7 linked regions of the Ovis aries genome follow. The protein of the gene in region 5 purifies or fractionates together with the protein of the main gene of each other region. This does not show direct contact. Links are inferred from orthologs where the notes say so. Each region holds a gene or a part of one and is shown on either strand. Other genes may lie near its edges. The genes, in order: DCUN1D3, FBXO33, FBXO42, FBXO21, CUL1, VCP and CRY1.

The links.
Region 1: the proteins of CUL1 (region 5) and DCUN1D3 purify together in Homo sapiens (affinity purification with western blotting; 4 studies listed by BioGRID and IntAct, with this or other methods). This does not show direct contact. The link is inferred for Ovis aries from reciprocal best matches to the Homo sapiens genes CUL1 and DCUN1D3.
Region 2: the proteins of CUL1 (region 5) and FBXO33 purify together in Homo sapiens (affinity purification with mass spectrometry; 4 studies listed by BioGRID and IntAct, with this or other methods). This does not show direct contact. The link is inferred for Ovis aries from reciprocal best matches to the Homo sapiens genes CUL1 and FBXO33.
Region 3: the proteins of CUL1 (region 5) and FBXO42 purify together in Homo sapiens (affinity purification with mass spectrometry; 9 studies listed by BioGRID and IntAct, counting the BioPlex papers as one, with this or other methods). This does not show direct contact. The link is inferred for Ovis aries from reciprocal best matches to the Homo sapiens genes CUL1 and FBXO42.
Region 4: the proteins of CUL1 (region 5) and FBXO21 purify together in Homo sapiens (affinity purification with mass spectrometry; 6 studies listed by BioGRID and IntAct, with this or other methods). This does not show direct contact. The link is inferred for Ovis aries from reciprocal best matches to the Homo sapiens genes CUL1 and FBXO21.
Region 6: the proteins of CUL1 (region 5) and VCP purify together in Homo sapiens (affinity purification with western blotting; 4 studies listed by BioGRID and IntAct, with this or other methods). This does not show direct contact. The link is inferred for Ovis aries from reciprocal best matches to the Homo sapiens genes CUL1 and VCP.
Region 7: the proteins of CUL1 (region 5) and CRY1 purify together in Homo sapiens (affinity purification with mass spectrometry; 4 studies listed by BioGRID and IntAct, counting the BioPlex papers as one, with this or other methods). This does not show direct contact. The link is inferred for Ovis aries from reciprocal best matches to the Homo sapiens genes CUL1 and CRY1.

Annotation. Positions count from the first base shown.
Region 1 is NC_056077.1:19,175,064-19,179,920, reverse strand, and holds the start of DCUN1D3 (DCN1-like protein 3), read left to right. Parts: upstream 1-1,737; 5' UTR 1,738-1,759; intron 1,760-2,100; exon of another isoform or gene 2,101-2,634; intron 2,635-4,857. UniProt on the Homo sapiens protein: Contributes to the neddylation of all cullins by transferring NEDD8 from N-terminally acetylated NEDD8-conjugating E2s enzyme to different cullin C-terminal domain-RBX complexes and may play a role in the cell cycle progression by regulating the SCF ubiquitin E3 ligase complex, after UV damage.
Region 2 is NC_056071.1:47,043,366-47,048,120, forward strand, and holds the start of FBXO33 (F-box only protein 33), read right to left. Parts: upstream 3,021-4,755; 5' UTR 3,017-3,020; coding exon 2,415-3,016; intron 1-2,414. UniProt on the Homo sapiens protein: Substrate recognition component of a SCF (SKP1-CUL1-F-box protein) E3 ubiquitin-protein ligase complex which mediates the ubiquitination and subsequent proteasomal degradation of target proteins. Probably recognizes and binds to phosphorylated target proteins.
Region 3 is NC_056055.1:249,502,689-249,506,823, reverse strand, and holds part of FBXO42 (F-box only protein 42), read right to left. Parts: intron 3,065-4,135; 5' UTR 3,048-3,064; coding exon 2,798-3,047; intron 268-2,797; coding exon 151-267; intron 1-150. UniProt on the Homo sapiens protein: Substrate-recognition component of some SCF (SKP1-CUL1-F-box protein)-type E3 ubiquitin ligase complex. Specifically recognizes p53/TP53, promoting its ubiquitination and degradation.
Region 4 is NC_056070.1:57,941,752-57,945,886, forward strand, and holds part of FBXO21 (F-box only protein 21), read left to right. Parts: coding exon 1-86; intron 87-385; coding exon 386-522; intron 523-1,499; coding exon 1,500-1,636; intron 1,637-4,135. UniProt on the Homo sapiens protein: Substrate-recognition component of the SCF (SKP1-CUL1-F-box protein)-type E3 ubiquitin ligase complex.
Region 5 is NC_056057.1:113,064,576-113,068,530, reverse strand, and holds the start of CUL1 (cullin-1), read right to left. Parts: upstream 2,801-3,955; 5' UTR 2,655-2,800; intron 2,399-2,654; exon of another isoform or gene 2,092-2,398; intron 1,945-2,091; exon of another isoform or gene 1,819-1,944; intron 1-1,818. UniProt on the Homo sapiens protein: Core component of multiple cullin-RING-based SCF (SKP1-CUL1-F-box protein) E3 ubiquitin-protein ligase complexes, which mediate the ubiquitination of proteins involved in cell cycle progression, signal transduction and transcription.
Region 6 is NC_056055.1:53,409,242-53,412,378, reverse strand, and holds part of VCP (transitional endoplasmic reticulum ATPase), read right to left. Parts: intron 2,943-3,137; coding exon 2,830-2,942; intron 2,418-2,829; coding exon 2,253-2,417; intron 2,163-2,252; coding exon 2,040-2,162; intron 1,793-2,039; coding exon 1,580-1,792; intron 1,385-1,579; coding exon 1,076-1,384; intron 809-1,075; coding exon 653-808; intron 1-652. UniProt on the Homo sapiens protein: Necessary for the fragmentation of Golgi stacks during mitosis and for their reassembly after mitosis. Involved in the formation of the transitional endoplasmic reticulum (tER).
Region 7 is NC_056056.1:175,963,972-175,968,904, forward strand, and holds the start of CRY1 (cryptochrome-1), read right to left. Parts: upstream 3,083-4,933; coding exon 2,925-3,082; intron 1-2,924.

The sequences.
Region 1 (4,857 bases), on a different chromosome or scaffold from region 5:
TCTCCTCTGCTGGCTTTTCCTTCTCTGGATCATCTCTTAATGTAAAGAGCCCCAAGGAGTTTAGTGGCCTTCCTCTCTCCCACTCCGCCAAGAATATGTTTTAACACATAAACATTTAACAGCACAATAGCTAAGCCAAAATTGCCCAATTTCAAAACTTCACCAGCATTCTTAAATTTACTTTTTATTCCTTGATTAACAAAGAAAAATAGGGCTTCCCACAGAGGACTTCCTCTCTATCTGCACTCTTCTTAGGTAATTTAGGAATAAATCGCTACATTTATTATCTCTCGAGTTTTCCCTTGATTTTCACATTTAACTTCTCAACGTCTTTACCTGGACAGTTAACAAACTTATCAAAACTAGTATGTTTAAAAGAATAGAGTGCCTTCCAAACTATTTTCTCTGAGGAGTCATCTTTGGTTCCATTCTTTCACATACACTTCATATTCAATTTGCCAACAAGTCCTGCAAGTTCTAGTTTCAGAATATATTCTGAATTTAATTCTTCCAGTTCACTGTCACCTCTCCCTTGGCCTACTGCAACACCTGCCAAACAGGTCTGACCACTTGTACCCTTCTCTATCCAGGAGCTAAGAATGATTTTCTAAAACTGTAAATGAGATTTGTCACTCCTTCTTAAACCCTCCAGTAGCCCAACAGTTAAGCTCTCGCCCTGGGCTAAGCTATGCTTGATCAGGCCATGCCACTTCTCCATCACAGACCACTCTGGCTCTTGTTCTTCCCTTTCTGGTCCAAGCATCTGACTTTCTCGCCTTTTCCTTCTGTAGATACCTTCCCGTTGCTTCTTTTCTCCATCTATAAAGCTCATTCCCTAGCTTCCCTCTTTTCTGGGATTTTTGCAAACCCGGCCTCCTCTGAACAGCCCTATCCGATTTAGAGTGGTCCTCCCCTCATCTTCTGCACTTCCCTTGTGGCTCAGCTGGTAAAGAATCTGCCCGCAATGAGGTAGACCTGGGTTCGATCCCTGGGTTGGGGTCCGAAAGAGTCGGACACGACTGAGCGACTTTCATGTTCCCCTTATTTTCTACCACTTCCCCTGATATTACTTCCTTTGGGGCATTTACTTGCTGATATCTACCTTATTGATTTACTTTTTAAGTTACTCCCGGACTCGAAAAATTCACGTAGCAACGTCTTTCGTGGACCAAGGGATTTAAGAAGCTAGTTCTCATTATCTTAGAAAATCTCAGTATCGTGCAGGGTACTCGTTTGTCAACCTTCCTCGGCTAGACGCCTCGCCTCCGGATTTGCCCCTATTAATCTCCCATTCATCAATACATTGGGGGAATCCAAAGGACTCAGAGATGCGCCCCAAATCGGCATTTCAGCGTTCCCAAACCAGGCCTCCCCTTCCTGGCCCTCAAGCCGCTTCCTTTAGCAGGTTCCTGAGGCGAGCGGCGGTGACACCAAGCAGCCCTCGCGAGGCTGGGGTCACACTGGCTCGTCTCCTAGCAACGTCGTACCCCCCACCCCCACCCCATCCCTGCCCCTGAGGAGTCCACCCCTTCCCCGTTTCCCGCGCCAGGAGTCGGCGTCTCCATCCTCAACACTCACTCTGCGTCAGTCCAGCCTTCCCCCACCCACAGAAGCCCCGCAGCCTCCGGCAGGCTGGGAGGAGGCGGCGCCGGGAGCGCAGCTGAGCGGCGGCGGACTGAGCTCTCTAGCAGGTCTGGTAGGCCAGACCGGACCGAACCACCGGACGGACTTCTGTGGGAGCATTAGTCCCAAGTCGAGGGTAGGCTCGACCTTTCGTTAAACTTCAAACTCTAGATCACGCTCCGCCGTATACCCAACAAGATAGCCAAACTAATCCTTTCTTTAATTTTCTTTTCCACTTTCCGTTCTCCTCTCGCCACCCCATTCCAGCGAAAAAAATGGTCCACTCCATCTCTTCCTAGCCCTCCCTCCGCGTTGCTAAGTCTTTGCCCTTACTTGGCGACAGCTTCGTACGTCTTTGCGTACGTCATGACGCAAACTGCCACTCGTTCCCTCCTCTCTCCTTTCCTATTCCGCCTGCCGAAGCGGGCGGCCTGCGGGGTTACCGGAAGTGATGATGCAGGAGGCGATGGAGGGGGCGGGGCTTCGGGGCGGCCGCCGCTGGTGGGCGGCAGATGAAGGGGAGGCGGCGGCAGTGGTGGGAGAAGAGGCGGCGGCGGCGGCAGTGGAGCGGGTAGGGAACCTGGAAACGCGAGCGGGGATGGTAGGTGTTTTGGACCCGCCGGGCCGCCGTCGTTTCCAGAAAGGGTTTGACTGGAGGAACCTCTGGAGCAGCTGTGAGTTTGAGGGGGGGTTTGAGGAAAAGGGGAGGCTTTGGGAGATGAAGGGGCGGGGGCTGGGTACCTTCGAGAAAGGGAGGGGGGGTGGAAGGGGAGGCGTGGAAATCAGCTTCTTGTCTGGACTGGTCCCGCTGGAAGGAGAGGCTGTGAGGGGAGCCTGTGGCGTGTCAGCCGCAGGGCTCAGAAAACTTACCTACTGTCCCTGCCTCCTCACCGCCAGCACCCCTCAACCCAGGGCCTGGGGCTCTGGTGGCCGGAGCTGCCCTGGAGGGGGTACAGACTCTGGTTCTCTGCGCCTTGTAAGCGCCGTGAGGTAGGAGCCCAAACGAGAGGTGGTGGGTGAATCTCCAGCTCCCTCCGCCCTCATCTACCTCCCCACCCCCATCTTCCTCTTTAATCATTAACAGCCCTGGAATTAAGGGGCTCAGACCTGAAGTCCTTCCTATGCACCTTTGCTGTATACGATAACCATCTGTGCCTGAGGTGATGGGGCTGGAAGCTTTGCCCCTATCCTGTATAGGAAGTGGGACAGAGTGACAAATGTATTGTTTTTTTTTTTTTCCCATTTCCCCCCCCCCCACCCCCCACCATCTTCTCCCGTGCATAGCCCTCCTTTCCACTTTAATTCTCCGTGACTAGGTGGTAATTGTGGTGTTTTTTTTTTTTCTTTATTGCTTGGTATCTTAGTTACCTCTTTTGAATTTGGTGTTCCGCCTCCATCCCAGGTCTTAACTGCAAGCTTTGTAATACTTCAGTTACAAGCTGTCTTTGGGAGTACCTCTCAATCCGTGGTTGCTTCCGATTAAACGAGCGTTTTATCCTCTGAATACTGGAATTCCAAAGCCCTTGCAAAGATTCCTAAATGGCATCATAGCCCAGGAATCAAGGTCTCTTGCTCTAAATACTTTATGTGTGAGGAATTTAAATGTTGTCAACTCTTTCCAAAATGATTTGATGTTAGGCTAATTCTAGATTGCTTGTTTCTCTCCACCCACACTTCATGATGCACTTTGGAGAACAGAAAACTCCGTATTACTCTTTTGTTTCTACAGTTGGACAATAGCTCTCTTATTTTTTCTTTTGTGTGTCTGGCACACAAGTCTTCAGTGACACATTTGGCTTGTGCAGATTTCCATATTATTTATTTAGCTTATTCTTTGTGTATAGGTGGTCTTACATGAGACAGCATGATTTGCTTAGTTTTCTTTCAGGGAAGAATACAAACCAGTAACAGATGTGAAAAAATTATTTGGCAAAGAATGATTTGAAAAGAAGATCTCTTTGTTGATGTTTTGTTGGTTTAAGGGGGGAAAAAAGTAGTGCTTCTTTAGCCTGTAGTACGGATTTCAGAGTGAAGTGTAATGATTTCTACTTTGGTGTTGATATTTTCTTTGGAAGTCCTTTTGAGTCTGGAACTGTTTTCTAAAGAACTTGAAGAGGTGGTTCCCAAATTTTAGGGATCCTTTGATGATTAGAAAGTGTCTGTAAATCCTGTCCCTCTGTAACTGAGTTTATGTGCATATTGCTAGAATTATCATAACGGGTTCCATCCTACTCATCAGGGCTTTCAGGCCTGATAAAACAATATTTAATGCTTTCATTGTACAAGTAACAGCATGTTTGGATGTTTCACAGAAATGCAACAAAAGAAAAAAATGACTACTGTTCTCACCTTAACTGATTTGGAATCATTGAGTAAAAAGTCCAAACTTCATTCATTCAGCAAACATTTATTGACAGGGCTACTGGTTGCTAGCCAGTATATTAGGCAGTGGACATACACAGAGGAATATAGCAGTAAGGTCCATGCTCTCATGGAGCATACATTGGAGTGGGGTGGGGACAGATACATAAGCAAATTGGATTTTGATAAGAGCTGAAGAAAATCAGCTCTTATCTGTAATTGTGAGTGCTGTGATAGGAAGTGTCTGACTGAGATACAGTCTAGACCTTTCTGAGAAGGCAGCACTGAAGTTGAGCTTTAAATAAAAAGGAGCCAGCCTTGCAAAAATACAGGAGGAACCTTCCAGGTTTAGGGACTAGCTAGTGCAGAAACTGGGCTGGAGTATGGCAAGTTCCAAGGAGTGGGAAGAAAGGGATGATGAAGAGGAGGTCAGGGAGGATTAGGGGTAGGAGTAATAGCTAGAGCCTCGTGATCAAAGAGAAGAGTGAAAAGAGTCTAGGTCAGAGAGATGGAGGCTGAGCTCAGAATGCTATGCTATGCTAAGTCGCTTCAGTTGTGTCCGACTTGGTGTGACCCCATAGACAGCAGCCGACCAGACTCCCCCGTCCCTGGGATTCTCCAGGCAAGAACACTGGAGTGGGTTGCCATTTCCTTCTCCAATAGGTAGACAAAATAAGAGCAAGAAGGAGAAGGATATAGAAAATGATGTTCCTTTTAATTCTGTTGTTTTTCCCAGAGTCTTGCCACATACTATTTTAAGGATACTCTTATTAGAGTATTGTCTGGAGAAGGGAACAGCTACCCACTCCAGTATTTTGGCCTGGAGAATTCCATGGATTGTATAGTCGGACACGACTGAGCGACTTTCACTTT
Region 2 (4,755 bases), on a different chromosome or scaffold from region 5:
TGAAACACAGCAAAATAAAAGTTTGAATTGTATGAAGTTCAACATAAAGGAGGAAGCATAAAGTTTGTGACTTGGTAAGTTCACATCCTCTTCTTCTACCTAAAAAATGGTAGAAATCATAAGGCAAAAGCATTGTAACATTTACCTTGGAAATGGAAAGAACAATGTCAAATATTGATTTTTCTCATTAATTATTGAATTTTATGGTTTTAGAAAATCAAAGAACACTAAACACTAAAGCATTTGAGTCATTCTTCATTGAGCCTGAGTTTGATGTTTAAGTGATTATGAAGGAAACAAGAATAGGCTTTATCAGAGTTATCAAATAAACATCTTGGTTTAAAACATTTTCAAATTTCTCTGAAGAAAATTAGTTTCACTTAAATTTTTAACATCCTTATTAGTACTTCCCATATTAGTAGAGTATCTCAAAATATTTTCAAAAATAAAGCTGAGACTTTCTTTCCAAATATATAAAGATTATTTAGAGAGCAGTCTTATAGACAAGTAGATTGAGATGCTAAAGAAGAGGTAGGTTCACTTTTATTTGTTTACTTTACCTCAACACACACAGCTAAAAAAATAAAAATTGATAGGGGTGAGGAAGGGAGCCGGAAAAAAATTAAACAACAAAGGGAAGATGTGATATATTACTATTTTGCCTTTACCTGTCCAACCAACCAATCAGTTAAAAGGAACTAGATAAAAACTTTGTAAAGTGGGTTCTTACTTGGACAAAAGACATGCATTTTTAAATGACTGCTCAGAACTGCTATCTAATCTCAAGAAAAATCTAACTGATACTGGCAAATTACTTGACCCTGTTAGTTTCAGTTTCCTTTCTATAAAGAAGCCACCCCACTTCTACCCTCCATTGAATCATCAGTAGTAAGTGCTCACTACTGACTCTAATCTCTGGGTCAGCTGGGCCTCCAGCCACACATCCAACTCTGACAGAAAGTCTCCAACATGATCAAGACCAACTTATGGCCTTAAACGGCCTCTTTTGCCACATAAAAGCAAAGTGAGGAAATAAAATGGCTTGGTGTGAAAAGCTAGGAAAATACACAGCATACTGGGATGATGCAGCCATGCTCCAGATACAACTTGCAGCTAATGCTTATTTTCCACCCTTGTGATTCAGAGAATTAGGAATACAGATATATCCATCTCACTTAGCATAACCAGGACCTTCACTCCATCCTGTTCAACGAAATGTATTTACAGCAAAACGAAGTACACTGCTGTCAGAGAAAAACAATGCTGTATGAAATAATGTGCAAATTATCTGACCCTGTTATGTTTCAGTTTCCTTTCTATAAAGCAGGGATAATAGCAGCTGTCCTAACTCACAGGTTCGGCTGAAAGGATCAAATAAGATCCTGAATGTGAAACTACTTGCAAACTGCTAAACTATTACTGCTACCTAAGTTGTTCCTTTTTTGAACTTATGAACTTTCCTCTACCTCACAGTTTAATTTTAAGCTTAGTTAGAATGTCCAGATAGAGAAAATCTACCTTAATAGGATCCTGGAGAGGGCGATAGATAAATAATGGAAAAGACTGATGAGGACGACGGGCCAGAACACAGGAAGTTAGACCCAGATTTACAGCAAAGTCTTGATGCAAAATCAGGACAGTTTGGGCTTACTCTTTGCAGACACTGGCCAGTTCCCCCAACACACGCAAACACCAAGCTGTACGGTGCTACTTTTAGGTGAATCACTGGGGACAAGTTGAGTCTGGAGGTGCAAAAGGGAGGGACCTTCTAATCCTGATGATCCGGCAGTACCCTGATCCCTTAAAAAAAAAAAAAAAATTCCTCCTACTCTTTGTGCCTGGCCTAGTTAAAACCATTCCCGGTAAGAAAATGGCTGTCAAAGATTTCTTTTTTTGCTGGGAGAGTCTCGAACCCATGCGAAACCTGTGGCATACCTACTCCCTCCGCCACCACGAACTATTTTGATCGGATAGGTTCAGAATAAAACAATAACAACAAAAACACAAATTAGTTTTGTTTCTCCCCAGACTCATTCTCAGGCCTCACCCTCCAAGCTTCAGCTCTCATCTGTAAAATGAATGACCGCGCCTGTCAACTCCATCCCACTGCTGCCGTTCAAGGATGAATGAGACAGTGCCTGGAAGGCGCCAGGAGTGCTGTCTGATAAACACCAAGCCCATCACTGTTTATAAAGTATTAGGATGAGTCCTGTTATGTCCTCCCGCCTCAAGGAAATCTCCGGATTAGAACTGACACCCCTAGTCACTGAAAAAAGCAACGCTGAAGCGGGCGGGGCGTTTCCACACTGAATCTATTTCGAGGTGAGAGGAAGGAGACGACCCTGAGCCTCGGGAAGTGGAGGCGGGGGTGGGGGTGGGGAGGAGGAGGAATGGAGGGGTTGCGAAGAGCCTACCTGTTGTTCCGGATGCTGACTAGCACGCACAGGACCAGCTCTAAGTAGGTGCGCAGCACTTCCAGCCAACGGGTTGAGAGCTGCAGGGCTTCGACTTCTTCCCCGCCAGTCCCGGCGTCCGCGCTGCCTCCATCGCCCGGGCCGCCGCCGCCGCTCAGGTAGTTCTCCGCGGCGAATTCAACACGCAGCTCTCGCACGAACCAGCCGCACTTGCGCATGAGGAATTCGAGCCGTGGCTGCTCCGCGGGCGAGACGCGGAGGCAGATGCGGAGCTGGGGCCAGAGAGCCGGATAGAAGAGGCACTCGCGCCAGTGCGAGCAGGAGGCCGAGGCCCGGAGCCGGTCAGACGCGGACAGGAAGGAGAAGATGTGCACGATCAGCTCGCTAGGCAGCGACGCGGCGCCTGCCGCCTGCCCGCACAGAGCCATTCGGCCCCGCCGCCGGCTGCCGGTCCCCGGCCGCCCCCGCAGTCCCCGGAGCAGCCCCCGCAGCCGTCGCAGCTGCTGCAGCCGCAGCCGCCGCCACCGCGCCACCCGGGCGGCCCCGGCTCGGGTTCGGGCTCCCGGTGGTCGGGGCTGCGGCACTGACAAGAACAACAACATCAATGACAAGGAAGAAGGGGGCGGAACCGTCGTGGGTCTCGGCGGAACCAAGTGCGGCACAAGTTGCGGAGAGGGGGAAAGGCCTATGCGGGGGTGGCCTCCAGATAGCCAGCCTCTGGCCTGTCAAACTTTACTCACGCGCGTCCGAGGCCTGCGCCCTCCTCAACTTAAAAACCCTCCCTTGTACTGGTTATGAGCCCGGAAGCGGCAGGATTTATTTTAAGGAACCGGGAGCCCTCCCCGCGCCTGGAGGCGGAGGCACAGCAGTGGTAGGAGCTGAGTTTGACGTCACCGGCGGTGGGAGGAGACTGGGCGTGACTGGGCGCGACTTCCGGAAGGGAGCGCCGGCTTGCCGGTAGGAAAGGGAGACGAGGCACGTGATTCCTGACGCACGTAGGCCGGTGGGGCGGGGCGGGAAGCGCTGGTGATCCCGGCAGATGGGCGCCCTCTCCCGTCTCTCAGAGACCACTCAGTCCAGTCAAGTCTGCAAATCGGTTAACTTGGGGGCTCTGGCGGTCGAAGTGGCGTTAACTCGCGTTGGTGCGAGAGGTCGCGACGCTTTTCATTATACGCTTCTGTGTTTCTGGGCTGAGGGCTCAGAGCCAGAGTGCTGGCTTGTGTCCTTCCTAGCCGTCCCGCCTGCCCCGAGTGTTGCGGAGAGTTTCTGAGAGAGAGCCCCTGAGGAGGGGAGCGGGCGCTTTCGCGGGCTCACACGGAGGGGCTGGGTAGGGAGAGGAGCCGCGCGGGCCGGGGCGGCGGAGAGGCCGGACCGAAGTCGTCAGTGGACACCGCCACCCCTCGGTCGGACCTCGAAGTGGACCTGCGCGCTCACCTGGTGTGTGGGGAAGGAATGAGGACAGCGCCACCCTTTGGATTTAGAGAGAGAGGAGAAAACAAGGCAAATGAGTTAGATCTGCTAGTCGATAATCGGCGTCTTCTCTGGGCTTCGAGGGAGGCTCCGCGTTCGCTGTTTTGAAGCCCTAGGTGTAAAGAAGCTGGTTGTTATGGTGAAGGTTTTCTTTAGCTTGGCTGCCCTCGCTTGAGAGAGGGATTTTCGAAAGAGTGTCCGTTAACTTCACCACATCTTGGAAAGTAGTAAACTGGTTGTACAGGGTAGTGAAGTCAGAAGGGAATAGGTAATTTTATGTAACAATTGAAGATTGCATTAGTGAGGCTGCCGCTTCAGAGCCTTAACTATGATCTTGAAACAGCCTAGTTTTCTTGTAATTAACTTCACGAAACTGTTCTACAAAATGTTTTTAGCTCTTTGAGGGCAAAATTCTCCATTCGTGATGCTTTGATGCCTTTTGGTGTCTTGTTGCCTGTGATACTGAGTTGTTACCTCTGAGTTATGTGTTTTACTTTTGGTAGCAGTAAAAACAAATAAAAACCAACAACAAAAAAATGCTTTCCTTCGTGGTAGAGCACGTCTCTGAACCTCTTGTCTGCAAGATATTTTTCTATGTAATTCTTATAATGATTTTATGAATGAATTAATGAGCAGTAATGGAAACAGCAATGAATTAGGAAGTTGAGACTTGGACTTGAATTTTTTATTTTTTAAATTCATTGAAATATTTTGAAGTGGACCATGGGTATCTGAATCTCCCACTTGTAAGTACTTCAGTATGTACTTCTGGAAACAATACTATATAACAAAAATAGTGTTATCACACTTAAGATAACTTCTGTTATCTTCAAGTTTATCTAGTTATCTCCCAAATATTCTTTATAGCCAT
Region 3 (4,135 bases), on a different chromosome or scaffold from region 5:
CGCTCTTCCCTACTCTGGCTGTAAAATTAATATGAATCCTCATTTATATTCCCTTCATTAAAAACGTCAGACAAAACACAATCCTCAAAAATAGTTTTTGCAAACATGACCGCCGGCAAGACGGGACCTGCTTTCAGGATAAATACTTACTGTGTGAGAACCGCTGGGTGATGGGGGTCCCGGGATAAGGGTATGTCCGACTCTCCCACTGGATGTTTCCTTCCTGAACAGCCTTTATGAAACCATGGTAACACTGGTGAGCTACACCTAAAGACAAAAATAACCAATGCCTCAGCCTGGACTCTTCACTTATAAACCAAACTATTAAAACTGAATCTATTGTCTTATCACTTTTTTAAGATGTAAGTTTCTTTGCGGAACTCCAAATTTCTTTGATTTTCTTTCATTCAAAGACAGAAAACAAAATCACATAAGCTCAAAACTGGAAGATCTAATCTTTAGATTTTACCAAGGTTAAATGACTCCCTCAAGGTGACAAAATCAGCTCACACTTTAACTCTGCTCCACTTATGCCACATCATAAGGAAACATATCAAAATAATTGGTGCTACTTACTCCAAAACAAAGAGACTTGGGAGATAATTTAGTTTTGTGAGAAAAAATACAGTAAAACAATCTCTGAAATATAACAGCTGTTTAGTAAATACCTATGGTTAGACCACGGATTCTCTGTAAAACAAGGAGATAATAACTAGCTGACAGTGGATTACGAAATGATGAATTTATAACTGAGGAAAGCTGTTTAAAAAAAAAAATCAGAGTTTTTACTATAATGCTGGATACATGTCATTATATACATGTCCAAAGTCACAGGATGTACCCCCTAAGGTAAACTGCAGATTTTGAGTGACAATGATACATCAGTGTTATCAATGCAGGATCATCAATCGTAAAACGTACCACTCTGGTGAGGATGCTGAAAGCGGGAGAGGCTGTGCGCGTCTCGGGGCAGAGGGTATACGGGAAATCTATGACCCGCGCAATTTTGCCGTGAACCCAAAAACCACTTAAAAAAAAATAAAGTCCATTTTTTTAAAAAGTGAGAGCTTCATACTTCTGGAACAATCTGTTTTTCCAACACATGAAATTACTATCTTATTTCAAAGAGAAGCGTTTTGAATGAAGTGTACAATCAATTATTTACACTTTGAGAGAATGTCATTCTCGAATTTATGCCACCTTGTGGATCCTTAAGTAGGATCACAGAACATGTTTTCCGGTGATGACCATTCTCCCTTGGCTGAACTCACAACAGATAAGAACTGGAATATTAAAAAGACATGACCATTTTCAATGGGTGACCATACTGCCGACTATACACTGGTGAAGTAACACAAATTTTCAAGTCCTGGATTGAGGTGAGGCCGTAGTGAATAAAAGACAGAGACATAATGATCGAGGGGAGAAAACCCTGTGCTGGCAGTGACTCCCCCAGAAGATCCAAGACTGAACACTACGTCAAGGTTCTTTTCTCTTGAAAAAGAAAAGAGAAACGATAAGAATGCCAAGAATAAATAAGCATCTTTGATTAGATCGCCACCCCCATGTATGACTCTTCCTCCTCTATTTTCGAGGTGACACCATCCACCTCCGTAGTGCAGGGAGCCAGCCTCTCCTGCAGAGTCCACTAGCTCTGCAGCAGAAGCAGGCTGCGCACGCCGACGCCACCAGGTGTGAGCAGATGCGCGCAGGCCTGGGGCAGCTTCCGCACAGCCGGAGGGCCCGGGGCAGCTTCAACTCAGCCGGCCCTTATTAGCCGTTGAGGCTGCACTCCAGACAACTGATAAAGACCCTACTCCTCAGAGAACCTCTCTGGTTCTAGGAAAGATTTTAAGACTGATGCTGATCTAAACCTTTTCCCTCTCTCTTCTCTCTGGCTGCCTTGCTCACATCAGCAAAGAAAAAGTCAATACAACCCTTGCTTTGATCAAAGACTATTCAACTGGCTTGGCCATCTTCATTAAAAAAAAAAAAAAGGCCCTTTCTACCTAAAACAAAAATGACTGTTATTAATTCAAAATACAGGGGACTGCACTGATGGTTCAGTGGTTAAGACCACTCTCCAGCACAGGGGTGCAGGTCTGATCCCTGGCCAGGGAGCGAAAGACCCCACATGCCTCACGGTCAAAAAACCAAAAACAGAAGCAATATTGTAACAGATTCAATGAAGACTTTAAAAATGGTCCACACAAAAAAATTTTTGAAAAAATATATATAATTAGTAACTTCAACATTTAGTTAAAGCTGAAATCTTGATTAGAAAATGGAGGGGGAAAAAGGGAGAAATACATTTTAAAAAGTAAAATACACACATAGGACCTGGGCTGTTTAGACATAAAATCAAGCATCAAATGCTTTCATAACTCCACACCTACCATAAACAGCTACTTTAAGCTATTCACAGGTTGCTAGGTCAACTGCAAAGCGGTCACGACAGTCTTGGCAATGTGAGAGTTGTATGGAGGTTAGCTCTTACCGTCAATCCACGCTCATCCCTACTCTGCCTATTCCAGAATAATGCAGTTTACCGGATCAACTCCAGGAATATGCAGGAAAGAATCCTCATTTTAAAACTTCAAGCTGGATTAAAAACTACAGCATTCAAGTTGTTCATAAAACTAGGCAGGATAAAGAGAAAGGAAAATGTACAGGGCGAACTGTCTACCGCTGTTTCAGAACCACGGTGAACGGAAGGGAGGAAACAATGGAACAGAGATTAAAAATCATTCAAAGAAATCTTAAATGGGTAAATAAACCTGTGCCCTTTCCAAAGTACCTTTAATCAGTCGATACCACTGCTTGCAGACGAGGGCTGCAGTTTTGTGCTCCTGGTATGGGGAGAGGAAGGACAGGATATACTCCAAAACCTCTTCTGGCAGCTCAGACATGGACCTGTTATGCCGAGTCTCCTCGGCCTCCAGCGCCGCGCGGAGCTCCGCATCTTGCTCCATGGCCCCTTCCAGCACGCTCTCCTCTTGGTCCACAGCCATGAAGCTGTCGTCTTCGCTGTCCGAGGAGCTGGCCATGACATCCCACGTGACAGCTGCAGCGGGAGAGAAGCACACGCCAGGGCACACTTTCTCAAGTTCTGAACTAGCTCAGCGCTTGCAGCCATGCTGGGCACGACCTCTTTCAGATGCTCAGAATGAAACCTGTCCTTTAGCACTTCCCCACACTAGCCGCGAGCGACCTTAATTTGTCAGGCACACCTCAAATGCCAAGCCCATCCCAAATATCTAAGAAATCTCTAGAGGCTTCTGATAGTGCTTTTTTCCCTCTTCACTGAAAACCTAGAGTGTCAGCCAAGTTCCGGTACAACCATAAAACCAAAAGACTTGTTCTCAACAACTCCTCTAACTCAAGGGCACGGTCCGCAATAGCAAAGGGCGCAGCAGCTAGTTCCCTTAGCCCGAAATATGATTCAGGACCCAAACTTAGGAGAAGAAACTAACGGTGCACCCTAGGAGAGTAAAGGAACACTGAGGATGTGCGGATAAGAAATGATAGGGTGTTTCTTTTAGCTTTGATACAAGACAGTTCACTTAAGAGGATAATAAATGTTCTAATAACAAGCTTAACTAGTGTAATACCAAATACAAGGCAATATTTAAAATAGGAAACATCGAAACAGATCTGAGGAGCTAAAAACTGAAAACACTCTAAATACCCATCAACAAGAGAACAGATAGACCGTGCTACGTTCATACGAGAGAGCCCTGTTGGGGAAGGAGCCACAGACACTCGGGGGCGAATCCTGACGCGGAGCGAGAGGCAGGATAGCACATACTACATGTCCAACCTGAACATGAGGCAAAAGCCACTGACGTACAATATCTTAAAAACTGGAAAGAGTGACCGCAGCAAGAAGAACACGAGTCAAAACTCACGAAGTTGCTCCTGACACAATGCATCTGCCAAATTAGCTACGATACTGCAACGCGTCCTAACCGAGTGGCTGCTGGCGAACCGATGGTGATGGACAACTGGGGGCTACTGAGAAGCAGGGGAGCGGCCTAAATGCTCACGGTCGGGAGAGGGGAGCGGTGGCAGAGGACGGGCAGCAGCAATCCCCGCCATTCCTCGGAAGCAGGCAGGAACTGGGACGGGTTTACAA
Region 4 (4,135 bases), on a different chromosome or scaffold from region 5:
GGCTCAGATTGACAGCATCGTGGAGCTTGTTTGCAAAACCCTCCGGGGCATAAACAGTCGCCACCCCAGCTTGGCCTTCAAGGCAGGTGTGGAATTGCTTTGGATCCAGCTGTATTTATAAAAGAAAAACCTAGAGTGATTGGTTAATTTGGGAAATTCTGCAGTGCGTTCCCATTATGTCCCCTCAAAGCGATAGATAACACAACCACCGGTTCACCCGAATGATGTCAGAGGCTTCAAACACATAGTCTCTTTTCCACCCAGCATTGGCAACACCTGATGAGCCTTCCTAGGACGTGGCCAGTGTCTGCACGTCGGGTTGTTGGGGACACTCCTCACAGCGTTATTTGTGCTTGTGTCCTCAGAGTAGGTCTCTGTGTTTCAGGCGAGTCCTCCATGATCATGGAAATAGAGCTCCAGAGTCAGGTGCTGGATGCCATGAACCATGTCCTGTATGACCAGCTGAAGTTCAAGGGGAACCGAATGGATTACTACAACGCCTTGAACTTGTATATGCACCAGGTAAACATGGGGGTGAGAGGAAATACTGTTATAATATATGTAGGTGGAGCTTACCTCTGATGAACTGTACAGTGTTTGAGGGCAAGGACTAGATTTTGTTGGTCTGCCAATGCCTGGTGAGACTCATTTTTTGCCTTTCCTATAAGGATATTGCTGTGGATTTTATCTGATTCATCACAGTGCCCCCTCTTGTCTGAAAACCCTCGAAGTAAATTCCTGGCTAGAAATAGGTACGCCTCTGACTCAGTGTGGTCAGATCGCTTCTTGTGAACAGTAAACAGTGAAACTAAGCAGGTCTCCCTTCTTGCACTGGCCTGCAGGGAGACTGGAGGAAATGAGTGACCGACTGCGTCATTGATGCTTATTTTTTGTTTGCTTTCTACCTCTCTGTTTTTATATCTGTTCTGTTGCTCTCTCTCAGACCTGTATTTTCTTTTGTCATATCTTACACACTTTTCTTTGAAATACCCTTAAGTTCTTCCTAGACAAAGGAGGGCCTAACCATAGGTCTATAGACTTTTGCCGTGAAGGCCAGACGGTGACTTCTCTCGACCTGGCTCCTCAGGCCAAATGCTGTCTGTCCTAACCGCTCAGTTCTGCCCTAGTCATGTGAAGCAAAATGCAAACCATCCAGAAACAGAGGAGTGTGGCTGTGTCCCCGTAGAACTTTGTGTGTGGACGTGGACACGTGAATTTCACAGTTTTCACATTTTATGAAATAGTGTTTGGTCAACTTCTTGTAAACATTAAAAAAATGCTAAAATTTTTCTTAAGCAGGCAATCCAAAAACAGCTTATCGATCTGATGTGGACTGTAGCCCGCAGAGCCCTGACCTAAATAAATAAAATACTCACCCATTTAAGTCTGCAAACCTATCCTCGCACCTGCTGCACAGTGGGCGCCGACTGGGAAGGTGTGTGGAAGAGGTGAGAAGGTGTGGTTTTCTGTGTGAAGCTAAAGCCTGCTTTCTTCTCTAGGTGTTAATCCGCAGAACAGGAATCCCCATCAGCATGTCTCTGCTCTACCTGACAATTGCCCGGCAGTTGGGGGTCCCACTGGAGCCTGTCAACTTCCCCAGCCACTTCTTACTAAGGTGGTGCCAAGGTGCAGAAGGGTAAGCCGTCTCTGACCTCGCGTGATTGCCCTCTGCTGAGAGAAGTGTAGCAGCGGAAGTTGTCAAGGGGACCAGGGTGGTGAGAGCTGGTTTGCTCTTGATTGTATCCAGGTCCATACTCTGTTCCGGGGAGAAGGGCAGTGTGCATTCTTCTGCCTTGTTTCTCCCAAGGGGAGTGTGACTCTCCAGTTATCTCAAAGAAAACAGTTTACTTTTGAAGGACTAACAGTTCAGGATCTTGTATGAATCTCAGTCTCTCTGTTCCAAAGCAAATCAGCGACAAAGAATTCTTTTTTTTTAAGGTTTTTTTTTTTAATTTTTTTAATTTTAAAATATTTAATTCTTACATGCGTTCCCAAACATGAACCCCCCTCCCATCTCCCTCCCCATAACATCTCTCTGGGTCATCCCCATGCACCAGCCCCAAGCATGCTGTATCCTGCGTCAGACATAGACTGGCGATTCGATTCTTACATGATAGTATACATGTTAGAATGCCATTCTCCCAAATCATCCCACCCTCTCCCTCTCCCTCTGAGTCCAAAAGTCCGTTATACACATCTGTGTCTTTTTGCTGTCTTGCATACAGGGTTGTCATTGCCATCTTCCTAAATTCCATATATATGTGCCAGTACTGACAAAGAATTCTTAAGCTATTTCTTCCCAGTCTTCCATAAAACCTCCCACAGAAGGGAGGTGGGGGTGGGGTGGGGGACTCAGAGGGAACTGGGCTGGGGAGAGGGAACTGGGCTGCCAGGTTCTTAATTTGCAAAAGCCAATAGGCATGTTCTCAGCAGGGGAGCTCCTTCAGGCAAGGTTAGTGCCTGCTTTGCAGACCAGGTTAAAGAGTTTTGTTTTGTTCTCTTTTTTTTTAAACCTGGTATCCTGTTGGACGTAAAGCTCCTTTACAGCAGTAGTCTAGCTTTTTTGAAAGCAGTTCATCAAATGGGTAGAGATGCCCTCTCTTTAAAAGTGCCCTTTAGAGGGAAAAGAAACAAAGTTATTTGATTACATCCTGTTATTTGAGACTACTTCCTGATGACTGGCCCTGGTACCCTTCGCTGAAGTGATGAGCAGAATGAAAGAAAGTAGCTGAGCTTTGAAGTTCAACTGGGTTCAGACCTCAGCTTCCTCTGGGCTTAAGTTTCTTCCTCTGTAAAACGGGGCCGATGTTTTTCATACAGTGGTTTGGAGGGTTCAGTGAGAGAACCCAAACGCTTTACACATGTGGTGGAATTCTGTTGCTGGTCTGTGTTTCCACCTCTGGGTTTGGGAAATAAAACACCTCCTTGGTATTCTTCTCCATTCTTTTCTCCCTTTTCTCCTTTCTAGAGTTTAGTTTGAAAGTATTTATTTCCATGCATATTTTTGTATTCTATGACATGTGTGTTTCCTTAAATAGGAAGTACAGGCTTCCCTTATTTCCCAAATATAATCTGTTTCTTCAGATGTATTGGATAGTTTCTCTGTGGGAGAGTAGGCACCCATTTTCCATTATTTTAAATGAAAAAAAATGCTTTTTCAGCCCATTCCCTCTCCCTGAGTAACTCAACAACTTCCCCAAATATCTAAAACGTCCTTAAATATTTATATTATTTAATGGTCCACCAAGGACTTCTGCATGATACAGAGCATTTAAAACACCAACTACCATGTTATTGACCGCAGTAACCCATTGCTGGGCACGTTTGTGTGTGCCAACAGGATCGTGTGTCCTTGTTTAGGCTCCAGTGAGTGTACACCACATTGCAGACGAACAGTGAAGGGGTTTGTTAGCACCGCAGACACCTGGCAGATGCTGAGACCCGTGAAGGTGTGGCCCGTGGGGGCGCGCGCGCCTGCGGGGCCCTCGGCCTCCATGTCTGCACCGAGACCATAGTGCTTGCTGACTGTGACCGTATCGTGAGTCTTAAAGACTAGGCGGCTGAGAGCCGCGTGGAGTCCTTCAAAATCACCCTGGCTCCTCTAAGCCTGAAGCCCACGCGCAGCTTTAGAGTCTGTGGTCAGGCCCTTGAAGCTCTAGTGTGGCAGCTGGCCCCAGAGCTTCTCTGGACTCACGGATTCACGTGAGGAGCATGGTGTATGTGTCCCTGCTCCGTCTGTCTGTCTGTGAGCACAAATGCTTCCACGTTGCAGTCATCTTTAATGTCCTTCAAAGGATTTTACTCTTTTCTATAGCCAGCTCTTTCACATCTTATTAGTTATTCCTGGGTACCTTTACTTTTTTTTTGCTATTGAAAATGGTCATTGTTTAAATGACACTTTTTATGTATTGGTGGTGTACAGGGGTATGGCTGATACTTAAATCTGGGTTGATTGTTGGCCCCTCTGCTGAATCAATTATTAGTGATAATAATTTGTTAGGGTTTTCAGCCTTTCTGTGTAGATAATCATATTTTCTGAATCATGACATTTTGTTTCTTCTTTTTTTTCCCCCCAGCTGTTATATGTTTGTGTCTCTTTCACTTACTGTGCTGGCTAGGTCCTCTTGAACACAGT
Region 5 (3,955 bases):
TTTGTTAAGTTTTTAAAAGATGATTCCAATGACAAAAAAAAAGTTGAATATTTTTAGAGTATTTCAGCCAACCCTCTAGAGCTTAAAGAGCACTCTCTCTACAAACCTCCAAAAATGGGCATAATAGAGTTAAAGCAAGCCAGTCTCCTGCATGCTGTATGCATGCCTCAGAATTTGAAATGCGTTGCAACTATTTCGACTTACCAGGGAAAGCAACAGACTTTTAAGTAAAAATTTTCTCAATACCCAAGGACCCTTTTAGATCAAGAGAACGTTAGGTCCAAATTTTTTAGATTAAAAAAAAAATTTTTTTTTTAAATTCTGCTTCTTAAACAATGCCCCCTATTTTTTCTACACAATCCATAAACGCTGCAGGATTTCAGAAAACCAGGTAAAACAGGGTGGCCACAAAATGAAGCGTTAAACTTACACCTGGCCATGCTTTTGCAGACTGCTAAAGCTATGCTGAGGTCTAGAAGCTGGGGGTTCAAGTAAAAGTGAATTTCAGTCCCTTCTGTCACTCCGATGAGTGCATTTCCAAAACTACGTGACCCCTGACTCCACTAACTTGGACTGTTTTAATGCCACTGCGCGAAGAGCAATTACACAGAGCAAATAAACACTTAACTGCAATTCCTCATTTGCACCCTCACCACTAACTCCAGCTGCGAACTGTGAGCAACGACAGTGATCCAATCCGAAAAGAGGATCCTATTTTTGGCAGAGAGCTCGCTAAAGGGAGAAAACCCTCAACTTTGGAGGATTAGGCTCAAGGAACGTTCACCATGCGTTTCTGCCCGGAACCACCAGCACTAGGCATACAGCACACGGGGGGCCAGAAGGGCGCGCGGGGCGACCCCTGCACGCGGCCGGCCGGCGCCCGGGTTACCTGCGGGGTCAGCGCGCGCTCCCGCCGGGTGCAGGGCCGGGGGCGCGCCGAGGCGGCGGCGCAGGCCCGGCCCGACTCGCGGGCGCTCGGCGGCCGCCGCGGAGGGGGGCGGGGGGGGCGCTCCGTCCGCTTCGGCCGCCGCACTCGCATCCCTGCGCGCCGCCCCGGGCCCGCTCCCCGAGGAGAACCGGGCAAAGGGGCGACTGTTACCCAATAATAGCGCCCTGCACAGTCGCAACAATGCGGGCGGGGAAACCCGGGAGCCGCGGGGCAGGGAACCGGAAAGCAGAGAGAGCCCGGCTCCGCGGCTCCTCCGGCGCGCAAGCCCAGTACTTTACTTGAGAGCACGAGTCGGGGGCAAGCGACGCTCGGGGGAGCGGTGGGTCCCCAGGGGGGCCGAGGGAAAGAGGGCGCGGGCTCGGGCACCCCTTGGTTGAGGTGGGGTGGTGGTCGCCGCCTGGAGAGAGGTGAGGCGCGCGCGCCCGACTGCCCCGGGGGCCGCTCGCCAGCCCGGCTCCGCGGCCCGAGGCGGGTCGCGCTGGGAAAGGGGCGGACGCCACCAGGCCGCCGCCTCGGGCGCGATGAATCGGGCCTTTTTTTTTTTTTTTCCCCAGTGCGTAGTCCGGGCCTGGGCCGCCCCGAGCCCGCGTCCGGGGCCGCGGCCCGCCAGGCCCGAGCCGGCCGGGGTGACTCAGGGCCGGACCCCGCGCGCGCGCGCGCGCGCTCCCCTCCCGCCCCCGGCGCCCTCTGCCCACGAGTGCCCCGGCCCCCGCCGCCATTCCGCCCGGTCGCGGCTCGGCGCCTCGGGCCTCTCGCCCGGCGCCTGAGCTCGGCCGCCGCGGCCCCAGTCACTGCGACACCGCGGCTCCGGGTCGGGCCTGCGCCGCCGCCGCCGCCTCCCCTCAGCCCCGGCGCCGCCGACAACTCACCCGCATTTCCCGGCTGCCTAAATGGCTCCGGCGACGTCTCCACCTGGTCGCTGGGCCCGGCCCCGGTTAAATCCCCGTCCCGCCAAGGTCTCGCCGCGTCCCTCAGCCGCCGGGGCTGCCCCGCCTGGAGCTGCGTGCGACACGGCTCCCGCCTCCTCCTCCTCCTCCTCCTCCCGGCCCGCCCGCCGGCCCTCCTCCCGCCGCCGCCGCCTGCACCACGCAACCTCCGCCCTCTCTCCTTCCCTTCGCCGCTCCCCGCCCTCCCGGCCTCACCGGCTCCGGCTCCCGCGGTGGAGAAGCTGGGGGGGGAGGGCCGGAACGCTCCGCCATCGGCGTCCGGGGCGGGGGAGCCGGGAAACCGTCGCCGCCATCTCCCCACCAGCCCCGCGGAGCGGGAGGGGCCCGAAAGCCCCCGCCCGCCGTGCCGCGGCCCCGAGTTCTCCCCACCCCGCCCGCCGCCCCGCGCCGCCGAGGCCCCGCTCGCGGGGCTGCTCTCTACCTGAAAGCCCCCGCGGGCCCCTGGCCATGGACGCCGCACCCTCCCCGGACGGGCGCACCGGATCCTCCTCCAGGTTTTACTGCCTCCCTGGCCTTGGGGGCCGCCTCTGAGGACCCGGCTTCCCGCCACTTTGGGCCGAACGAGGAGGGGGCGGGGGTGGTCACCTTCCTAGGTCGGGGCCCCAGCCTGAGGAGAAACCGGCCCGAAACACCCCGGAGCAGAGGGTCTTACACGCCGCCCTCCCCCGCTCCTGCGCGCACACACACTGAACCGACACGGATCACAACTACACCCGCTGGATCTACCTTCCCGGCGGGAGGATAACCAAAAGCCATACCCCGACCGGCTGATAAAAGTCAGAGATGGGCGAGTGGCCCTGAAAGGCAGGCGCAGCAGACTCCAGAGAAACGTGCCGTCCATTCTCTGAACCCCAGGACACCTGCGGCCTCGTGGATCGGCACCTCAAAGTCCCAGCTCCTCGGCGTCTCTCTGTCTCTCTCTCTCTCTAAAATTGGTTCGGAGATCAAACCAAATTAGCTTACCTCTTCAAACTCTCTAACCCACTCTTTTTTGAACAGAGGTCGACAAAGACACTTTACCATTAATCTCTGTAAAGATTAAGTGAAGAATGAAATTGAAGATCTTACATATATGGATGGGATGAGTGAGGTATGACTATTGAATAGGACTGTTTTCACCAGTGCTGCGGAGTCGTTCGTCTCATTCATCTGAAATTAACTCACAAGTGGTTACCTGAAATACAAATTTGGGCAGCGCAAATGGCCACCTGGCTTCCTGTGGGGACACAGGTGAGAAAGCTTGGACTTGAAGGGGCTTCTTCTCTAATCCCATGGTCCATGAACAGTTCAGCATGGAAAGATTTCAGGTTATCTGGGCCAAAGACTTGATGACTGTAACTTCCTGTTTTGCTCCAAAACTAAAACATTGAGTATCACCTTGGGGTGGAAATGCTAGGCCCAGAGCCTAGGGCTACTCCCACAGCCCTCACTGTTTCCTGAGGAATATGGATGTCTCTTAGAAGAAATATCTTAAGACATACTTGTATATGCGGTTCCTCCTATTGAAATGTGGCCTTCTGTCAACAACTCTTTATCTTTAAAAGTATGGCATTTGTCTGTACCTGTCACCAGAGTATGTGATCTCAGCCTATTTAAGGATTTTTAAATTCGTGCTTTATATCCTCAATGGACATGAGTTGGAGCAGACTCCGGGAGATGGTGAAGGACGGAGAAGCCTGGCGTGCTGCAGTCCATGCCGCTGCAAAGAGCTGGACAGGACTGAGCGGCAGAACAGCAACAAATATCCTATACTTCTAAATATTCAAAAGAAGCTTAGATGTATTTAACTTTCTCATGGGCACATGGGAGAATTGAAGGTAAAAATGGAAGGCTTGTACATATATATGTACACATATATGGGAGGCTGCACACATATGGTTTCTCTGAGACCCTCACTGCTGCGAGCTTTCCTCAGAGGACAGGTTAGCTCATCTCCCGTTTGTCTAACCTGTCCTCTGCCATTTCATCATCCAATATGGTCGTCCTGTCTGTGACTCCCCACAGCTAACACGTGAGCTGAGTGGGTCAACTTTCCCTTTGCTGTTTGTTTCTTCCAACG
Region 6 (3,137 bases), on a different chromosome or scaffold from region 5:
AACTGAATTATACCTTACTCACAGGCCTCACTTCCAGTAACACACAACCTCTTTAATGTATCCAGGTTCTCCCAATTCCTGCAGTTCTATTCCTCAAGCAGTCTACTTGGGTGACTTACTTCCTTTACCTAACCTCTATTCTCTTTATAGCCCCGGCTCACATCCTATCTCTTCTACCAAGAAGCCACTCAACTGCTGTGACTTTGGATAGTTTATAAGCTTTTATGAGAGGGAGAGAAACATCACTAATGGTAGAGAAAGCCAATCACTTATTTGCTTATTAAGTCAGTTTCCAACACTGTGCCATGCTACAGTGGGAAACAAGTGAGATAACAAAAATCCCTATCTTTATTGAGCCTATATATACATACATATCAAATTCTGCATTTAATTCAGGGGGTCCATGGAACACCAAGAAAAGGTCCATAGATCCTAGCTTCTCAGCCCTGCTCTATTTGTTTCTATGCTCATTTCTTCTCAGCCTTTGTAATTCCCAATTGACATGGTTATCTGAGTACTCAGCATTTTCTCTTCCATGGCATGCTAAACATCTGATAGATGACCTTTCCAAAACTGTACACTCTAGGGCACTGTGGAGATTGTCCCCTGGCTCCCTAAGACAGGCACATCTGGGTTAAGGATGCAGACTCACCATTGCTGATGGGTTGGTCTGCCGCTCCCGTTCTCGCCTGATTTCACTCTCAATCGATTCACGAATGGCCAACTTGCAAGCACGTTGGCAAATCTCGGTCAAATCAGCTCCAGAGAAGCCATTAGTCATTTTAGCCAGGAACTCTAAATCCACATCCTAAAAGAAGCAAGAGAGCTACCTTAGCTTTTAGCCTCTTTTGATACACTGATCTTTGAGCCACCAAAGCACTCCCAATTCCACTTTGTTCCATCCTCTGCCACCAGTTTTATTCCTTATTCTAGATATCTTAATACCCTCAAATCTTCCATCTTTCCTTTTCAACCATAACCCCAGAAATCCCCAATGGAACCTTGTCCAGGAACCAAGGAGCATTCCACACAGCCTGCAAATTCACGACCCTGCAACCCAAGACCTTGCACCTGCCTTGGCAACTGGGGACTTGCGCAGGTTGGCCTTGAGAATGGCAACACGGGACTTCTCGTCGGGAAGTGGGATATAGATGAGCTGATCAAGGCGGCCAGGTCGCAGGATGGCAGGATCAATGATGTCAGGTCGGTTGGTAGCGCCAATGATAAATACATTTTTCTTTGTGGACATGCCATCCATTTCTGTCAGGATCTGGTTGATGACTCGGTCAGCAGCCCCACCACCATCTCCAATGTTGCCACCACGGGCCTTGGCAATCGAATCCAGCTCATCAAAGAACAGTACACAGGGGGCAGCTTGGCGTGCCTGTGAGAGACAGATGGACTTGAGCATTAGCACAACTGGGTCTCTCAGACCTGAGGAAAAATGGAAAATAAAGTGACCTTCACTGCCCTAACTGAGCTGTCAGAATGGGATGGTCTTAACTCTCCCAAAGAACAACCTCTACCCCTAACTTGTTCCCAAGCAAGTGAACTGATAGCCCAGCCACTTGTAGCTCACCTTGTCGAAGATTTCCCTCACGTTGGCCTCAGACTCCCCAAACCACATGGTGAGCAGCTCAGGACCCTTGATGGAGATGAAGTTGGCCTGGCACTCATTAGCAATGGCTTTGGCCAGCAAGGTTTTCCCACAGCCAGGAGGTCCATAGAACAGTACTCCCTTGGAGGGTGTCATGCCAAACTTGAGGAATTTGTCTGGGTGCTCCACAGGATACTAGGAAGAAAAAGAAAGAGGATTCAGGGCTATCTCCCCCAGTTTGAGAGAAACCCAACCTAACAGAAGCATCCTCCCACACCATCTCATGGTGTAAGGTGACAGGATTCTTGGTGCTTCCAACCTCAGAACAGCAGGTTCCTGAATCATGCTCATAATTTCTGCAATCAATGTGTCAACACCCCAATACCACCAGCTCAATGACAATGTGCTGAAGCAGTGACCCACCCTGGACCAAGCACCCTACCTGGACCAGCTCCTGAAGCTCACGTTTGACATCCTCCAAGCCCCCAATGTCCTCCCAGGTCACCTGAGGCACCTCTACCACAGTTTCCCGCAGTGCTGATGGGTTGCTCTGGCTCAGGGCCCACTAAAAAGGGAAGAAAAATTGGGGATGAGAATTGCCAGGCAAGAGATCAAAGTGCATGTGTGTGCACCTGAAATGGAGAGCGGCCCTTACTCGGAAGTCGTCCATAGTAACTGCCAGGGAGTTCATGACCTCAGCATCAATGGTCTCATCTTCTAGGTCAATGAGGTCCATCTTCTTGCGGATGGCTTGCAGAGCAGCCTCAGAGCACAGGGCTGCTAAGTCAGCTCCCACGTGCCCATGAGTCTCATTAGCTACCTGCAGAGAGAAGATCCACTTACTCTCCTGCCTCTGAGACCTAGCTTAGATGTCTCTATTCTGGCTTAGATAACAGAACCCTGCCCTCTTCCTCTGACTCCTATCTCTGGGTCCTCCATTTCCCTAAACTCATACCAGCAGCCCTTTCATTAGCTGGACTCTTAAGTATTCAAGCCTGCACTTGGGGCCTGGAAATAAAGCTGCCCCCAATATTCTGGTTCACCCTAATTCAGTAAACCAAGAAAAATGCCAAACCTAGTTTCCTGGATTCAATCTCAGATCACTTCCCTTTCCCTGCCCAGGAATTAAAATCAATCGCCTCACATCTGAAGCTTCTGTCCCTAGTCAGTTCCCTTCAACTGTCTGGCAACAAGACATCCGAACTTCTGGCCAGCCCTCATCAACATGCCACCTGTTCAAGGTCCACATCATCTGCCAGCTTCATGTTCTTGGTGTGGATCTGAAGAATTTCCAAGCGTCCGGTAGCGTCAGGGATTCCAATATCCACCTCTCTGTCAAAGCGACCTGTGAGATGACGCATAGACAGGGATCATTTCTGGTGCATAGGGAAGAAGGGCCCAGGCCTAAGGCATCCAACCATTCCACTGTGACCAGGAAATGTCTGGTGTTAGCACTGAAAGCCCCATAACTTGGGAAATCCCTCAGTCTCAGGCAAACCAGGATGCGTGGTTACCCTGGACATGACATGGAATAAGGGAA
Region 7 (4,933 bases), on a different chromosome or scaffold from region 5:
ATGAATATTCAGGACTGATTTCCTTTAGGATGGACTGGCTGGATCTCCTTGTTATTCAAGGGATTCCTATACTTATCAGTTTTAGTCTTAAAATGCTAAAACTGTAGGCATTTAAGTAGATACTATTTACCTAGGACTTTCAATTTAAGAGCAAACAGCAAATAAGCACTTCCTAGTATGACTTAGTAGTAGCAGTAGTAGCACCACTCACATTTTAAGCATTTCACATCTTTTAACTAATTTAATTCTCCTAACAATATTATGAAGAGAGACTTATTACTATATTATTGTTAAGATATGAATAGATTAGAATATATAACATGCATTATCTTTTTCCAGAATCAATGACACCAATTCTGCTAATGAAAATGTTTTATATACAGTTGCTGTATTATTCTCATGAGCACACAAATATCCTGTAATTTCTCTCATCTTTAAAAAAAAAAAAATCTTCTCTTGAGTTCACCTTCTTCTACACCATTTCTCTGATTCCCCCCCAATGGAAAACTTAAAAGAGCTATCTATGTGAGTTATCCCCACCTTCTCTCCTCTCAGCCTCTCTCAAGCCAGTCCAAAAAGGCTTTTGCCCCTGACACTACTGAAACCACTTTAATCAAGATTATGATCTCAAAATGCTAAATATGATTCTTAATTTTCAGTCCTCATCTCACACGACGAGCAACCTGACAAAGGTCAAACATTTTCTTTGAGCCACTGTCCTTTTTTCCTTGGCTTCTATGACACCATTATCTTCAGGTTTTCTTAGCTTACCAGATGTTCTTTCTCAAACTCCTATGCTACTTCTTCCACACGTCCACAATTTAAATACATTCAAGTACCCAGGCTCAGTTCTTTTCTATCTGTATAAATTCACATAATGTTTTCATATAGTCTCACAGCTCTACTAGAATGTATCTTCAACACTGCAGAGATATTTTAGCTATTCTGTTTAATGTCCTGCACCTAAAAGTGTCTAGCACATAGTAGATCCATACAATATATTTGGTCAATATATGAATGGATTAATAGTTTTAAATGTTATCTATAAAGTGATGAATCTCTAATTTATACCTCCTGCCAGGATCTCTAACCTTAACTCTAGACATATCTATCTGCTATCTCCACTTGGATGCATAATAAACATCTCATACTAACCAAGTTCAAAAGAAAACTCAAAGCACCCTCTCAATGGCTTCTTCAACTGACCACTTAGTAAAGATCAGTTCCACCCTTCTAGATTCTCAAATCAAATTTTGAAATTATTCCTAATTCCTTTTCTCTCACACCACATCTGTCAATAAATACTGTGAATTCTGCCTTCAAAATACACTCAGCACTTGACTTCTTCTCCCTATGTCCACCACAATCACTATGGTCCAAGTTATTATCATATCTCACCTGGATTAATGCAATTGACTCCTAACCTGTCTTATTGCTTCTTGTCCACCTCCACCCCACAATTTGGGTCTGTTCTCAGAACCACGGCCAGAGAAGTTTAAAAAAAAAAAAAACACACCTTCAGTCAAATCACATCACTTTTCTGCTCATAATCTTAGAATTATTCCTATTTTCATCTAAGTAAAGGCCCAAATCTTGACAACTGCCTATAAAGCTCTACTCAGTCTGGCCCTATTACATCTCTGACCTCATACACTACTATTCCTCTCACTCTGTTCCAGTCACATTGGCTTCTTCTGCTGTTCCTTCCAAAGGTTAAGCATATTCCACCTCAGGCCCTTTTTCTTAGTTCTTTCTCCCTGGAATGCTTTTCCCTAGATATCTGTAATCTACTTGTTTCATCATCTTGCTCAACTGTCCCTTTCTCTGAGTTTTTCCCTATCACCATATTTTAAACTCCCAATTCCAATCCCACTCCCTTGTACACATAAAAGCTGTATTTCCGCACATCATTTATCATCTACTACATTACTACATACTTTCTGGGACATGTGCTAGAAAAGGACAAGAATTTCTATTTGTTTCATTCACTACTGTATCCCTGGTGTTTAAAGCTGTGGCTGTAAGTGATTGTGAGTGAAATCGCTCAGTCGTGTCAGACTCTTTGAGACCCCAAAGACTATACAGTCCATGGATTTCTCCGGGCCATTATACTGGAGTGCGTAGCCTTTCCCCTTGCCAGGGGATCTTCCCAATCCAGGGATAGAACCCAGGTCTCCCGCTTTGCAGGGGGATTTTTTTTTTACCAGCTGAGCCACAAGGGAAGCCCTGGTATACAGCAGGTGATCAATACTCTGCTGAAAGAATGCTTTCATTTCCACCACGGGGCCTAATAATCATCTGGCCTGGCATGTCAGGAAAAGATCATAAAGCTTCTCTAAGATTTCTTCCAGTGCTCTAAATCCTGGAAGGATTATACTTTGCCTAGAAAGAAAAACTGTGCTTTGTCTATTCAACCACAAGGAGGAGTTGAGAGGAAGAACTGAGCAAAGAAATGTCCCTTGCTTTTCCTCTGGCAACCTCAAGGTGGAAGAAAACTAGATTTGGAGGGGACTCTACTGAATGAATGATTTTCTCCATACTATGAGTTAACACACAAACGTAAACACTAAAGACCGCAACCCCAAATGCCACAGAGGCCAAGGAAATCAACACACGGGCCATTGAGAACTGGAAGGGTGTTTCTTTAACTCCACCACTAAGAATTCTCCATAAATCCAGGGGAAGAATTCCTACGAGCGCAGAGACACGTAACTCACACCTGAAGGCCAAGGTGTTTCAGGCTGCCGGAACTCTCTCGCCTCAAGGCTATTAAGTCCGTTCTATTTAATACTTAAAGCACCTGCAATAATTCAAACAGTACGGGCAAGGCGGTGCAAGATTTCAATTCTCAGGTCTGGCTGATGGCATGTAAAGTCTTGATTCATTAAACAGCGAAATCAATTTCCCACAGGATTTTGACTCACCGCCACCTGTTGATCCCCACGTTGGAGGAGCCGGCGAACCAGGGGTCGAGGATGTAGACGCAGCGGATGGTGTCGGCGCCCTGGATGCACTCCTTCAGGGCGGGGTTGTCGTGAAGCCGGAGCCCCTTTCGGAACCAGTGCACGGCGTTCACCCCCATCCCGGGGGCTGGGGGCGGGGGGGGGGGCGTGCCGCGGTGCGGCGCCGCCGAGCTCCTCCGCCGAGAAATTCAGGGTGGGAGGGTCCGGCTCATAACCGACAACTCCGAACGCAGGAGAATCGCCGCACCCAAGGAGTGAGGAAAGCAGAGGAGGGGAAGGAAAAGATGAGTCCGAGGAAGGGACTGAAGAGGGAGAGGGCGCTGGCGGCGCAGCTGGAAGATGAATGGAGGTTGCCCAGTCAGCGGAGTCCCGGTGTGACGCCCTTTAGGGGCCGGCACCCGCCGCCACAGACTGGAAAAGACGCATAACTTCGAGGTCCCCGGACCTCTGGAGGCTGACCAAGTTCCACAAGCCCGAGACTCCACCACGGCCCGCGCGGGCGCGGGCAGCCCCAAGAGGTTCTCTGCACGGAAACCTCGCCCACCGAGGCGGCCCCCGAGGAGCAGACGGCCCCGCCTGAGGCGAGCCACCGACAAGGATGAGAGAGAATTCAGTCACTGTCGGCCACGCTGCCTCTCGGCCCGGGTAAGAGAAGTGAGGACAGAGCACGCAAGGCGGTGGTCGAGGCCGCTGGACCGCTGCCGGCCGGTGACCCGTCCCGAGGCTGCCCGGGTGACTCCGCCGCCACCGCCGCGTCAGCGGCTTCAGCCCCGCCTTCGGCTCCTCATTGGAGGGCGCACTCCTCACGTGACCACCGGCACCTCACGTTTCTGAAGTGTGTTTACTACAGCGGCTCCGACTGGGGTATCAGCTTGCACTTCAGTCGCTTCTAGGAGGCGGCAGCTGCTCCATGTCAAATCCATCGGTCCTCTCCCAGACGCTAGACACTTTGCCTCTGTCCCTTTTCTCGGCCAACAAATCGCGGTTGCCTGAAAGCGCCCAGAGTGAGCCGAGGCCCCATGTGAGGGAAAATTTAGCCCCGCCCTCGGGGGCTGTGAACGTCCACCATTGGCTGAGACTCGCTGAGACCCGGATGAGCACGGGGCTGCGGGGAGCTAGAGAGCTCGCGCTCTGCCCGTGAGGGCGCGCGTGCGCTCTCGCTGCGTTTCGGAGTCAAGGAGGGCGGGGCCGGCGATCCGGAGCCCGCTAGGGGATTCCTCCCGCGGAGTTCGCGGAAGGCGTGGAGACATCGCGGTGTCTTCCAGGAGTCGGAACGAGGATCCGGCGGGGAATGAGTGAGGGCAGGATGGAGTGGAAAGAGCAGAGTAGGAGGCTCCACATCGACTTAGAGCCCAAAACATGTGTTTCCATCCAGCTTTAGCTGGAGAACCCAACCCTACTTTGGAGTGTATAGAGCTGGCTCCCTTCTCATTCTTGTGCCCCTAGCGTTACTGGATCCTTGTATGAGCTCTGGGGAAGAGGATTAATTCGGAGGGTGGTGCCAGGCATCCCTGGAACTCCTTAATAGTATCTCTGTGTTGTCAACATGTCAGCCTTCCTTTCTTACACCTAGTGCGGTTTACAGGGCTCTTTGCGATGGGACTTTGCCTACCCCTCTAAGGACAATGAACTTCAGGCCTTGCTGTTCCTTGATTTAGTCACTAAGTCGTGTCCAACTTTTGCGACCCCATGGACTGTAGCCTGCCAGGCTCCTCTGTACATGGGATTCTCCAGACAAGGAGTGGGTTGCCGTTTCCTTCTCCAGGGGATCTTTCCCACGCAGGAATCGAACCTGGGTCTTTTGCATTGCAGGCAGGTTATTTAGGGACTGAACTACAAGGGAATCGCTGTTCCTTAGGCATGCAATAACTTTAAGTTCATTCAACAATCACTTATTGAATGAAACTGGCACTATTTAAAGTACTGGAGGTACACAGAGAGAGGAAGAGAAAAGCCCTCTTGAAGTTCAC